Danio rerio: one gene and its partners. The protein of the gene in region 1 interacts with the protein of each later gene in a pairwise test. Links are inferred from orthologs where the notes say so. Each region holds a gene or a part of one and is shown in the gene's direction. Other genes may lie near its edges.

Region 1 (3,982 bases):
CGGACTCAACTTTAGTATCCCATTTAGAGAAAGTAAAATTGCAGTAAGGTGCCATAACACAGGCAAAGTTCCATGTACACATTAGCAAAATATTACCACAAATCATACAATACATCATATTTAGATGCATCTCCCTCCCCACTGGACTCATTTAATGACCTAATGGCTACCTATTTGCAGGACAATGCCCATTAGGAACTCTAAAATGACATCCTGATGGCAGCAGCTAAAACACGGAGAACAATGGGTGACCTGGAGTGCATAAGATACCCTGAGCTCTCTTTAAAACATAATTATGGTAAATTATCATTGGAACAGTTTAGTTAAAACCGATGACCTTGCCTGCCACCTTCACAAGACTACTCAACCTGTTCTTATTTGACAGACTCGGATTACTGTAACAAGCAAAAATGCAGAAAGATAAAACAGATTCAATAAATTGTTTATAAAACAGTGACACCATAGAGCTGCAAACCCCAAATTATCGAAGTTTCCCAGAAAAAAAAAGTCTTTGAATGTTTTTATTTTTTATAAACAGCCTGGGTGTTATGTCAACATATTGTAGATAAAGACCCCTAGATATTTATGTGTGTCAACAATTTCAATGACCACACCTTTACTAGTTGTTATGCTGGGGGTAGGAGAAGCCTTCCTGTAATCTATCAACATAAATAGTATTCAAACACTTTATGAGCAATGCAGTCTGAATGAAGTAAAAAAGAATTCTAAGCAATCCATCTCATGTACACTTTCCATTTTACGATCTGATAGAAGATGCAGAACCTCACGGTAGAAACGGAACAGACTTTAGAACTCTTTTTATCCCAGTGTCAATCAGACTATTGAACATGGATCGATAGTGTGCTTACGTTTTTTCCTGTATGTAATTCTTTAGGATGTTTGCTTATTTTATCATTTTTATTGTGTCAGAACTTGAAGTGCTCTGAGAGTCCAGGGAAATTTCCCCTTGAGGTACAATAAAGTATACAAACAAATAAATAAACAAACCATTACCAAATTGTTTAATTCTATAAACTACTAAAATTGTCCAAATTCTAAAAAATTTTTTGAAGGCTTCTGTGTGTATGTTCAGTTTTGTCTTTTTTTATGGCGATTTTATGGCTTTTTATGGTTCTTTTTGTTTTTAAAGTGAAATAATAAAAAAGAAACACGAGGCTGCAAAAAATGCTAGTTTTGGAAGAAAATTTTAAATGACTTGAGTTATACTTTTCAGGAAATTCATCTTGGTCTCAAATAGCAAATTTGTCTTGAACTCGGTACACATACAAAAGAGAGGCACCTAACATTTACCAATAACAATGAGATTTAAAAGACCCTTCAAGGTAGTTTGTCATTTAAAATGCTAATGCACACTAGTAGAAAATCGCTTATAACCAATCCTTTTACACAAAAGAACTTTGTATTGCTTTCTAAGCTGGCAGTTAGAGGCTTCTGCATCTGAACTCTTCTATATTCTATGCATATTGTATATGTGTGTGTGTGTAGAGAAAGTGTGAGTATCACTCAGATAATTAATTTTATTTACTTGAAATGCAATATTGCATAAATAAAATTTGAAAAATAATGGAATACTAATGTGTTTCACTTATTCCTCATCATTTACTAGGAATCCTTTATTTTGAAAATGACCCCCTCTATCTATTAGTTAGGCTTTACTGCAAGCTTTTATTTTATTAAATTAACTTGGTTACTTGCTCCGGTTTCCCCCACAATTCCAAAGACGCGCTATAGGTAAATTGGGTAAGCTAAATTGTACATAGTGTATGTGTGTGAAGGAGAGAGTATGGGTGGTTCCCAGTGATGGGTTGCAACTGGAAGGGTATCCGCTGTGTAAAATATATGCTGAATAAGTTGGCGGTTCATTCCACTGTGGTGACCTCAGATTAATAAAGGGACTAAGCCAAAAGGAAAATGAATGTATGAACTTGGTCATTTATTTTTAAAAGAATTCAGTGTTCCTTCACCTCAAGCTTGTATTGATCTTCATACATCTAACTCTACTATCTCTGCCGATCCCTCTCACTGTTAACAGGAAGCGCTTTGAGAAAGCAGAGGCTGAGTATGTTGCCGCTAAGATGGACTTGCACAGGAAGACCGAGGTGAAAGAGCAGCTGACAGAGCACCTGTGTGCAATCATCCAACAGAACGAGCTGCGCAAGGCCCGCAAACTGGAAGAGCTGATGCTGCAGCTGGAGCTAAATGCTGAGGAAGTGCCCAGTCCAGATCAAACGCAACTACAGGACAAACAGAAAGAGCCTGTTACTGAGAACGGTCCTGCAGCAGAGCTGGAGAGATGTACAGAGGCGAATGGCTCAAGTATGAGCAAAGACAGTTCCATTACAGAAACCAAGATCAGCCAAGACAATCAGGAGAGTGAAGCAGCAGATGTTTCAGCAGATGGGCTTCGCTAGCTTCCAAGCATCATTAATTTAAAAGAGGCTTCATAACGCTTTACATAACACTTGCTACCAGCTTTACAAATATCTCTATTGTGTGAGAATGCTGAACAAAAGCAATGATCCTATATTTCTTTATTTAAACATTTTTGGCATTTTTGGATTATACAAAAGCCATGTTGGTGTCTTCTCAAATGCCATGAAGGTAATTCCATTACTACTAACGCTAAAATGCCTTGGCATTATGGGACTCAGATATTGATTGTGATTGTTTTCATTTAAACTGTTACTTGATCCTGAATGTGAGGAGTTAAAACAATGCTGCATCCTTTTATTGTGCTTCATCTGGATGTCATTGTATAATTTAATCTGTCTTGCATTAAGAAAATGGACCACAAATCTCTTGAAAACACTACATTAAATACTAAATACTGTTAATTTTATATCGTTCCATAACTGTGACACTATTCAAAATGAATTAGTGGCAGGCGGTCTGGTGGTAGTTTGTAGTCATGATTTATTTCACATGATGTTGCACAAGTGTATGGTGGGATCTTTTATCTGTATATGGTGGTTGTCTCATAAAAGTAACGTTATGCGAATGTTAACAAATCAATAACAGCAGTTTTTTTTTTCTTGCAAAGCTGATGGTTTACTCAGCAGAGATTGTTTTGTACAGTATGAGGGAAAATTCTATTGGAGTGTGAAAAGTATATAGAATTTAAAAATCTTGTCAAATGCTCTTATAGAGCCCGTCATCAACTATGAAAACATTTTATATAATGGTCAGGATATTTATTTTTAAAAAAGGTTTAGGATATGACTTTTTTTTTTTTTTAAGTAAATTGTAATGTCTTTCGTTTCATTTCATGCGTGCACGAATGGGTGTCAAGGCATATACATATTTTAATGGTTAAATAAAATATTTAAATATCAATCCGTTTTAAGTTTTTTTTTTTTTTTATTGCACTCAAGACTATATACTTTCTAAAAGACCAGTTTACATTTTTGTATGACTTTTAAACATCTAAAGGAGAATGTTTTAATTTGTTGTGAAGATTATGTAAGTTGATTTTATCTTTTTAATAGGATGTAAGCAGTTTTTAGGGAAACATCTTTGCAGTGCTATTATAGATATCAATTAAACATTTAAAGCGTTCAGAAATATATGGACGGCTATTGAGAAATAGAAAAGATTGTTTTGCTATATTATGAATTAAAAGGTGCATAATGCGTTAATGTTTACAAGAGCTACATTAAATATTATAATTCCATGTAATAAGATGAAATCACTAAAATATTACCTGCAGTAGCCTATTACTTTCTTTATATTCTGGTTTGATTGTACAAAACAAGGACTGACAAATTCTGGAAGTAAATACAGGAAAGGAGAAGCACAGTTTGCGAGAGCGCATTTCTGATTTATGTGCCCTCAGTCCGCCGGGACAGGTTGAAAAGACTCCGTAACCCGAGAAACTCTTGGGAAATATAGCGAAAAAAGTTCACAAGATTAACTTTTAGTGAAAAAAATCTGAGTTCTGGCAAAAGTTTCGATCATGAAGATC
Region 2 (3,654 bases), on another chromosome or scaffold:
GTCCAGAGTTGGAGCTCACGTTCTGCCATGCGGTCATCTGCTGCACGGGTGAGTGCTTCAACTTCTGCCCTGCATGAAATAAGTTACTTGCACTTCAGGAATATGCACTGATTCGCTGATCTTGGATACTAAATAGGTACTGTATTTGTTTTTTTGTGTTTGACGATTAATTTTGACTAATTGCATCCCAAATGGGTATTTACATAGTATATGTGCATGTATAATGTGTGTGTTCGTTATATTGTCATGAGCCCTTATTATAAAGTTATCAGGTGTATGTAATTTAATGCTCATACACTTTATCTTTTTTGCTTGTAGAACCTGCTTTGATGACATGTTGAAAACTGGGTAAGTGTCAATTTGATTTGCTTGTTGTATTAATGTTATCTTTTGCATAATTCATAGTTTATTCTTTTTTTTTTGCATACATTTAAAAGGCATATTTCACATAAAAATGAAAATTCTGGAATTATTTATGGAATCTGCCTCCACTTGACCAGACATGTTTGAGTTTATATCTTTTGTTTCTCCCAAAATAAATATTTGGAAGAATATTGGAAAGAGCAGACATTAGGCTTTATTTTAACGATCCATGCATAAAGAGCAGGGCGCAAACGCTTTCAGGGCGTGTCAGAATCCATTTTTGCTAATATAAGGACGGAAAAATCCACTTTGCGCCGTGGCTCATAGTCTAAAAGGGTTGAGTTTATTTTCTTAATGAGTTATAGGTGTGTTTTGAGAATAAACCAATCAGAGCCTCATCTCCCATTCCCTTAAGAGCCAGTTGTGTCACGGCATAGCGTGTTTGCTATTTACATGATGTAAAATAAGTGTAAGTGGAAAAACTGAGCATTTCACTAGCAAGAAAACAGTTAAACGGAGCATCTGCAGTGCAAAAATGAGAGATAATTGATTAACTTTCACTTTCACTCTTGTGCATAGGGAAACCTTGACGCACAGACATCAATTAGCCTAAAAATAATTAATTATGTTTGTTAAGCGCAAAGATTTGTTTCAAAACTATTTCTAAATTCAGTTCTAATTTCCAGCAAACAAATAAATGAACAATAATAATTAAGTGTGTTCAAAAACCTGAGTTACATCCTAATACACATGCTGTGCCCCATATGGTCTAAAACCTGACAGGTGGGCAAATCTAAGCTTGTTTTTAATAAAACAAATATAAATATGGATATAATAAATAATACTGCTAATAATAAGAACATTATACAAAAGCAAATTGAATGAACTAAAAAAGCCTCCGGAGATGAAGAAGGCATGAAGGCAGTGGTTTTTCATATTTAGGAAGGCTAGAAAATAATATGGTTTGTAATATTTTAATCCTTTATATTTATATCCTATATATATTCTTATTATATCCTATATATATCCTTAATATTTTATTTCTTTTTCATATGTAAAGATATTTGCCTATTGCTCTACATCTTGTGTGTATTAAGCAGTGTGTAAGTGAGGCACATCTCTGCGCTGGACTTTCGACTGGATTTGTTTTGGTCAATAAAAAAATCTATTAAAGTTTCTCAAAATAGCAACGCGCCAGCAATGCACGTCAGAACGCCTCCCTTTTTAGACCAGAGCGCCTATGGGCGCGCACATGAGAGCAAATGCATTTGCTATTTAAACAGCGTGGTGCAAAACTTCAAAACAACTCTTGCGCCAAGCTGAAACTAGCAAACAACAATTGTGACGCGACTTGCACCACATTGCGCCAGGTATATGATAGGGTCCATTGGCTTCCAAAATATTGGTTAGATGACAATGGCTGCTTTTTCCCCAGATTCTTCAGAATATCTGGTTTTGTGTTGAACAGAAGACATTCATAAAAGATTAAAACTACTAGGCAATTGTAATTTATTTTTACAACTATATCCTTAAATCCTCAAATGCCAAGGCCTATATAACTATATAATGATAGATAAAGCCGCAAAAAAGATTATTATAGCATTTAAGAGATTTCAAACCCATGTGCTATGCTCTAGCAGCATATCTTAACCATGTGTACATGCTTTTAATATTAGGGATGCACCGAAAGGTAGAGATCTGCGCGGGACTAAATTTTGAATCCCGCCCGCACCAGCCAGGTTTTAGCCCGAACCCGACCGCTCCCGCTTATATTAAAAATTTGTTGTCCCGCTGCCCGACCCGCCCCGTTTTCTGGCCGCCGCGCCCGATCCTGCTAAAGAGCGGGGGAGAACAAAACCGAAAATCACCCAGCTATACAGTCCAGACAGCCAAGCTGTCTGTATAAACACACACACACACAGCATCAAGCACACACACACAGACAAAGCTCTCTCTCATATGCGCGCGCGCACTAACACACACACAAGCACCAAGCAGACACACAGGCGTTTGCTGTTATATCAACTCGAAGGCTTGTAATACCATGTATCAAGTACCAATGTAATACCAAAAGGTTTTATATAAAGGTATATAAATACTGAGTCGCGCCAGCTCCGGGCCGCAGCGCACATTACCCTCGGGCCGATTCCGGCGCGGATGCGGCAGCGTCGGCTCGCTTACGGCCGCCGTATCTGGCCCAATTGATTCGAGTCCGGCAGCCGGAGCCGGGCCGAGTGGTAAGTCTCCGGCAGACAAGAATCTAGCCGGAACTGGCCCGAGTGTATTTTGCTATCTGGGAAAGCTCTCTCTCTCTCTCTCTCTCATTCGTGCGCGCACACTAACATACACACACACAAGCACCAAGCACACACACAGGCAAAGCTCTCTCTCTCTCTCTCATTCGCATCGCAATATCCGCGATATTGCTAGACAGCCCGCTCCCGTCCCAAATTAAACCCGTTACCGACCGCTCCCGCGATTTATTCGGAAATTTATTCCCGCGCCGCAGAAATCTGGTCGCAGACCTCTACCGAAAGGCTCATTTTGAGGATTATACAATCTTTTTTTTTTCTGAGAATTTTCAAATGTAAAATTTGTATATTTAAATGAAAAATTTTACTGATTTTAAAACGCACAGGCTAATTAAATAACCATTGCGCAATGCAAGCCTTTACAATGAATAGGATTTATAGTGCAGCGCTTTCTGTGTCCTGTGTGAAAGCCTCTACACTGAGCACAGTTACTACAGTTTGAAAGTGAGTGAAACCAGTGCCCTAAACACTTTCCCTTTTTTCTTTTGGTCAAAACCAAATGCCATTTCCTGTCCAAAAATTTGATGCATCCATATTAAACAATCATTGCATTCTATAAAGCAGTCTTATAGTTGTATGACCCTGTGTGTTGTTCTGTCCTGCAGTGCGTATCGCTGTCCTCTCTGTATGCACTCGGCCTTCAACATGAAGGAGTACTGGAAGCAGATGGATGAGGAAATCTCCCAGACTCCAATGCCCACTGAGTACCAGGACAGTACAGTCAAGGTTACCGAGCCTTCATTTACATGTTCATTATCTTAACACAACTTGCAAATAAGGAGCAGCACAGACACAACCAAAGTCAATAGCTGATTTTCCATAAGAAATATGTAAAGTTGTGTTTATGCTCGTTTTTTTAAAGATTTATTTGTTACATTTCTATGACAGTTAACAAATTCAATTCAGCTTTATTTGTATAGCGCTTTTACAATGTAGATTGTGTCACAGCTGCTTCACATAAATGGTCATAGTAACTGGA
Region 3 (4,356 bases), on another chromosome or scaffold:
AATGATTAGCAAACTTATTGAACGCGGAAGTCAAAATAGGCGAGTATAAAACCAACTTTACCCATCTCAAGTTATTCTGAAGGTGTGTCGTTTAATTCTGGAGCCTCCGCGGGAATCGGAGCCTCGAGTTTCTGTTCTTTGTCGACAAGATCGTCGTCCAGTTGTGCTTTACTTTCCGGTGTGGTTTTCTGCTTGCTATAGCCCATTTGCTTCAATGCACGGCGTGCTGTACGTTCAGAGATGCTCCTCTTGGTCTCCTCGTTGTAACGAGCTGTTAACTCGGTTACGGTAGCTTTTCTATCAGCCTTAATAAGTCTGCTCATCCTCTTCTGACCGTGGTCATCAACGAGGCTTTTTCGTCCACATTCCTGTCGGCCAGTGGTTGTTTTGTCCTTCAATGACCATTCCCTGTAAACCCTGGAGACTGTAGTGCGAGAAAGTCCTAGCAGCTCAGCGGTGTCGGAAACACTCAGACCAGCCTGTCTGGCTCCAACAATCATCCCGCGTTGAAAATCACTTAAATCACCTTTCTGTCCCATTCCGAAAAGCAAATATATGGTCAGGTTATATACGATTAAGAGAGTTGACAAAACAAATGCCTCTGTTTTATTAGAAGTAAACCAAGAAAGCGCGTTGGCGCATCAACAGTCGTCTTAAGTGTTTTATTATTGGCGGTTTGTATACAACTTCTTGGCGCATTACCGCCAACTGCTGGTTAGGAGTGCAGGTTATGATCGCACATACTATTGTGCATACAGACCAAAAACGCCCCCCCCCCCCCCCCACCCCCAACGTTATTTGAATTGAAGATGAATCCAAATAATCTTGATGAACTCTGGGAGTCCTGCAAGAACGCTTTCTTTGCCATTCCAGATGACTGTATTGTGTAAGTGATTTGAGTCATTGCAGAGATGTATGGATGCAGTCCTTCAAGCTATATATATATATATATATATATGATTAAAACTTCTGTACAACAAGATGAAATACATTCAAAGCCAAAAAGAGCGTGTGCGCTGGATTGTAATGTAGGAATTTTCTTAAATATTAACTTTAATGTTGTATTCTGTTAAATACCCGTTTACGTCATTAAAACTGTTTGTAAAACAGAGGTATTGCTTGTGTTTCAGCAATGCATGACTTCTAAATGAAAGTGCAGCCTTGTTTAAGACCTCAGTCAGAGTTTGATATTGTGTGCATCTCAAAGACAAAAATATTACACTGTATTATTATTATTATTATTAGATAAAATGTTGAACATGAAACAGTTAAGAAACAAGAAAATGTAAAGTGAACGGCCAGAGCATCAAGTAAATATTTGAAGCATCCACACTATTACAATTAAATATATTCTAACCTAAAATAAAAGCTTGAGAAAACGTTTGAGGGATTATCTGCTCTCTATGTTACCTATAATAATAATATCAGCAAAAGGAGCAGTAGAAAAATGATGGTCACGTGACCATGTTTCGTGCATGGTCGGCGGCGGAGTCGGTGCGCCCTCTATTGGTTCGTTGTCCGTCCAACAGCAACACCGTGGGCTGGACTGACGGGGAAGGATGTGGTCCTTTTTCGCTCGGGATCCTATTAAAGACTTCAACTATGAATTATTACCCGAAAACCAAGAAAAATCAGGCATATGGACCCTTAGCCGGGGCAAGCGCAAGGTAAAATGACTTGACATACTAAAATAAAGCTAATAGTGTCGCAGCAGGCCGCTAAAGCCTCGGGCTAAAGTGCAGCTACATCCCGCTTAGCATCCCGCATCAGCGTGTGAACATAAAAGCCAAACGAGCAGCTTTAAAACACCCACGATTTGTAAAAAGGTTATATGTTTTAATATCCACGTATCACTACCTTCTGGGGCGTATTAGTTTGATAATGAAATTATTTATTACAGAAAATTAGATGTGTCATCCTTTCACCAGAGTACGTAACATTGCTGTGGCCACGTCAACAGAAAGCTGGTCACATCAAACTGCTGAATAATATTTACGTGACAGTCATATGTTTTCAGTTGTTTCTTTGTTTTCTGGTATTTGTTATCGATTGTTACATTGGTATTGCTCGTTTAATTATGTTTAATGGCAGAGGAAAGCGGCAGTGTTATTATTAGTGATTACTGTACACGTGTCCTGACAGGCCATATATTAATAACTGTACCCGATCATCATCATTTCATCTATCATATTAGCAACTGCATCTGATGGCATTTTACTAAACGTACCGATGCATCAGTAACTATAGATCATCTAATTAACAGAAGAGTGGCAGATCAGTAGAAAGGGATGTACATTGCAGACTTTATCAGTGTTTTTAAAGAATAGTAAACATATTCAGGACATTCTGGTTGTGCAGGTTTTTCTAAATTGCATTTTTCTTTTCAGATGAGTTGTATATCAACCTAATCTGTACCTTCCTTTTATTCCAGTCGACCGGTGAACCCGTGTCAGTCTTTGTGTATGAGGTTTCTCAAGGAACGGAAGAGCAGACACAGCTGGCTAAAGCAGCTTTCAAGCGCACAAAAACCCTCAGACATCCCAACATCCTGTCGTATGTAGATGGGCTGGAGGTAAGGATGTAATGTTGATTAAATTCACCTGTTTATCGGTGTAATGGTGAATCATATGGAGATTGTTCTCTTGAAACAATGTCTCACTCCTGATTATTCAGGTCCTTGTCAATAATAAATGGCTATTCTGAAATATTCTGCAATCCAAGAATAGAAAAAGAATAAATATTGGTCATTTTAGGGCCATTATAGTGCATAATCCTGTACACACACACACAGTAACTGAACTGACTCCTAAAAATCTATGGTGGTGACATCTAGTTTTTGGCGAGGCAGTGGCACAATAGGTAGTGCTGTCGCCTCACAGCAAGAAGGTCGCTGATTCGAACCTCGGCTCAGTTGGTGTTTCTGTGTGGAGTTTGCATGTTCTCCCTGCCTTCGTGTGGGTTTCCTCTGGGTGCTCCGGTTTCCCCCACAGTCCAAAGACATGCGGTACAGGTGAATTGGGTAGGCTAAATTGTCCATAGTGTATGAGTGTGGGTGTGGATGTTTCCCAGAGATGGGTTGCGGCTGGAAGGGCATCCGCTGCATAAAAACATGGTGAATAAGTTGGCGGTTCATTCTGCTGTGGCGACCCTGGATTAATAAAGGCACTTAGCCGACAAGAAAATGAATGAATGAATGACATCTAGTTTTTAATAACATTCATTCATTTTCCTTTGACTTCCCTTTATTCATTTTGCCACAGCCAAATGAACCCCCAACTTATCCATTATATGTTTTACACAGCGGATGCCCTTCCAACTGCAACCTAGTACTGGGAAGCATCCATACACGCTCATTCACACAAATACACTATGGGCAATTTAGCTTACCCAATTCACCTATAGCGCATGTGTTTGGACTGTTGGGGAAACCGAAGCACCTGGAGGAAACCCACACCAACATGGAGAGAACATGCAAACTCCACACAGAAATGCTAACTTACCCAGCTGGAACTCAAACCAGCGACCTTCTTGCTGTGAGGCGACAACCACTGAGCCACCGTGTAACCTTAATGATGTTATGTAAATATTTTTTATAGATTTTGTGGTATATATTGTGATTGGTATTTGCACCTTTAGTAACTCCATAAACTGGAAGTCTTTCTGAGCACAAGCAAAAAACCAAAAGGACATGTTTATGCCAGTGGCCTGTATTTGCTGTCATACAATGACTTCAGTAGGGAGCAAAGTTATTTGATCATTAAGGCTGAATGAAAGTATAGTTCCTACTAGAAAGAAGCAAGTCATTTTCCATCTGTGTAAGTAGTACACAACGTAACTACAGAAGAGTCAAACTTTAATTAGGAAAACTATTGAAACTCTTTGAGTCATTTTTGATGAAGATGTTAGTGGTCAAATCTGATTTGATGATCTATGCTGAGCTAAGCTAAAAGGGCTGCAGCCAGAACCGGGAATAGCTGAATGGATAAAAAAATTGTAACATTCACTGATTAAACTCGAGGGCTGTTATATAGTTAGCCTTTTTTTTAAACTGAAGTGTCATTGGCCACCAAACTTGTTCCTGGAGGGCCGGTGTCCTGTAGATTTTAGCTCCAACCCTAATCAAACACACCTGAACAAGCTAATCAAGGTCTTACTAGGTATACTTAAATCCAGGCAGGTGTGTAAAGGCAAGTTGGAGCTAAACCCTGCAGGGACACCAGCCCTACAGGACCGAGATTGGTGACCCCTGCTTTATATGTTCATGAGTGACATGACCTGTTCTTAAAGTGTGTACATGGCTTATGTTAGCAGGAGGTTTTACACAAAATTAAATGATAATTATCAACGATGCATTTT

Evidence for each region.
Region 2: the proteins of gorab (region 1) and rchy1 interact in a two-hybrid assay, tested with the Homo sapiens proteins (3 studies listed by BioGRID and IntAct). The link is inferred for Danio rerio from reciprocal best matches to the Homo sapiens genes GORAB and RCHY1.
Region 3: the proteins of gorab (region 1) and scyl1 interact in a two-hybrid assay, tested with the Homo sapiens proteins (2 studies listed by BioGRID and IntAct). The link is inferred for Danio rerio from reciprocal best matches to the Homo sapiens genes GORAB and SCYL1.

The regions. Positions count from the first base shown.
Region 1 is NC_133195.1:37,777,766-37,781,747, forward strand, and holds the end of gorab (RAB6-interacting golgin), read left to right. Parts: intron 1-2,053; coding exon 2,054-2,432; 3' UTR 2,433-3,354; downstream 3,355-3,982.
Region 2 is NC_133180.1:9,853,574-9,857,227, forward strand, and holds part of rchy1 (RING finger and CHY zinc finger domain-containing protein 1), read left to right. Parts: coding exon 1-48; intron 49-318; coding exon 319-348; intron 349-3,280; coding exon 3,281-3,401; intron 3,402-3,654. UniProt on the Homo sapiens protein: E3 ubiquitin-protein ligase that mediates ubiquitination of target proteins, including p53/TP53, TP73, HDAC1 and CDKN1B. Mediates ubiquitination and degradation of p53/TP53; preferentially acts on tetrameric p53/TP53.
Region 3 is NC_133189.1:50,214,099-50,218,454, reverse strand, and holds the start of scyl1 (N-terminal kinase-like protein), read left to right. Parts: upstream 1-1,505; 5' UTR 1,506-1,559; coding exon 1,560-1,667; intron 1,668-2,431; coding exon 2,432-2,572; intron 2,573-4,356. Other genes in the region: zgc:194285 (uncharacterized protein LOC793726), read right to left, coding at 72-539. UniProt on the Homo sapiens protein: Regulates COPI-mediated retrograde protein traffic at the interface between the Golgi apparatus and the endoplasmic reticulum. Involved in the maintenance of the Golgi apparatus morphology.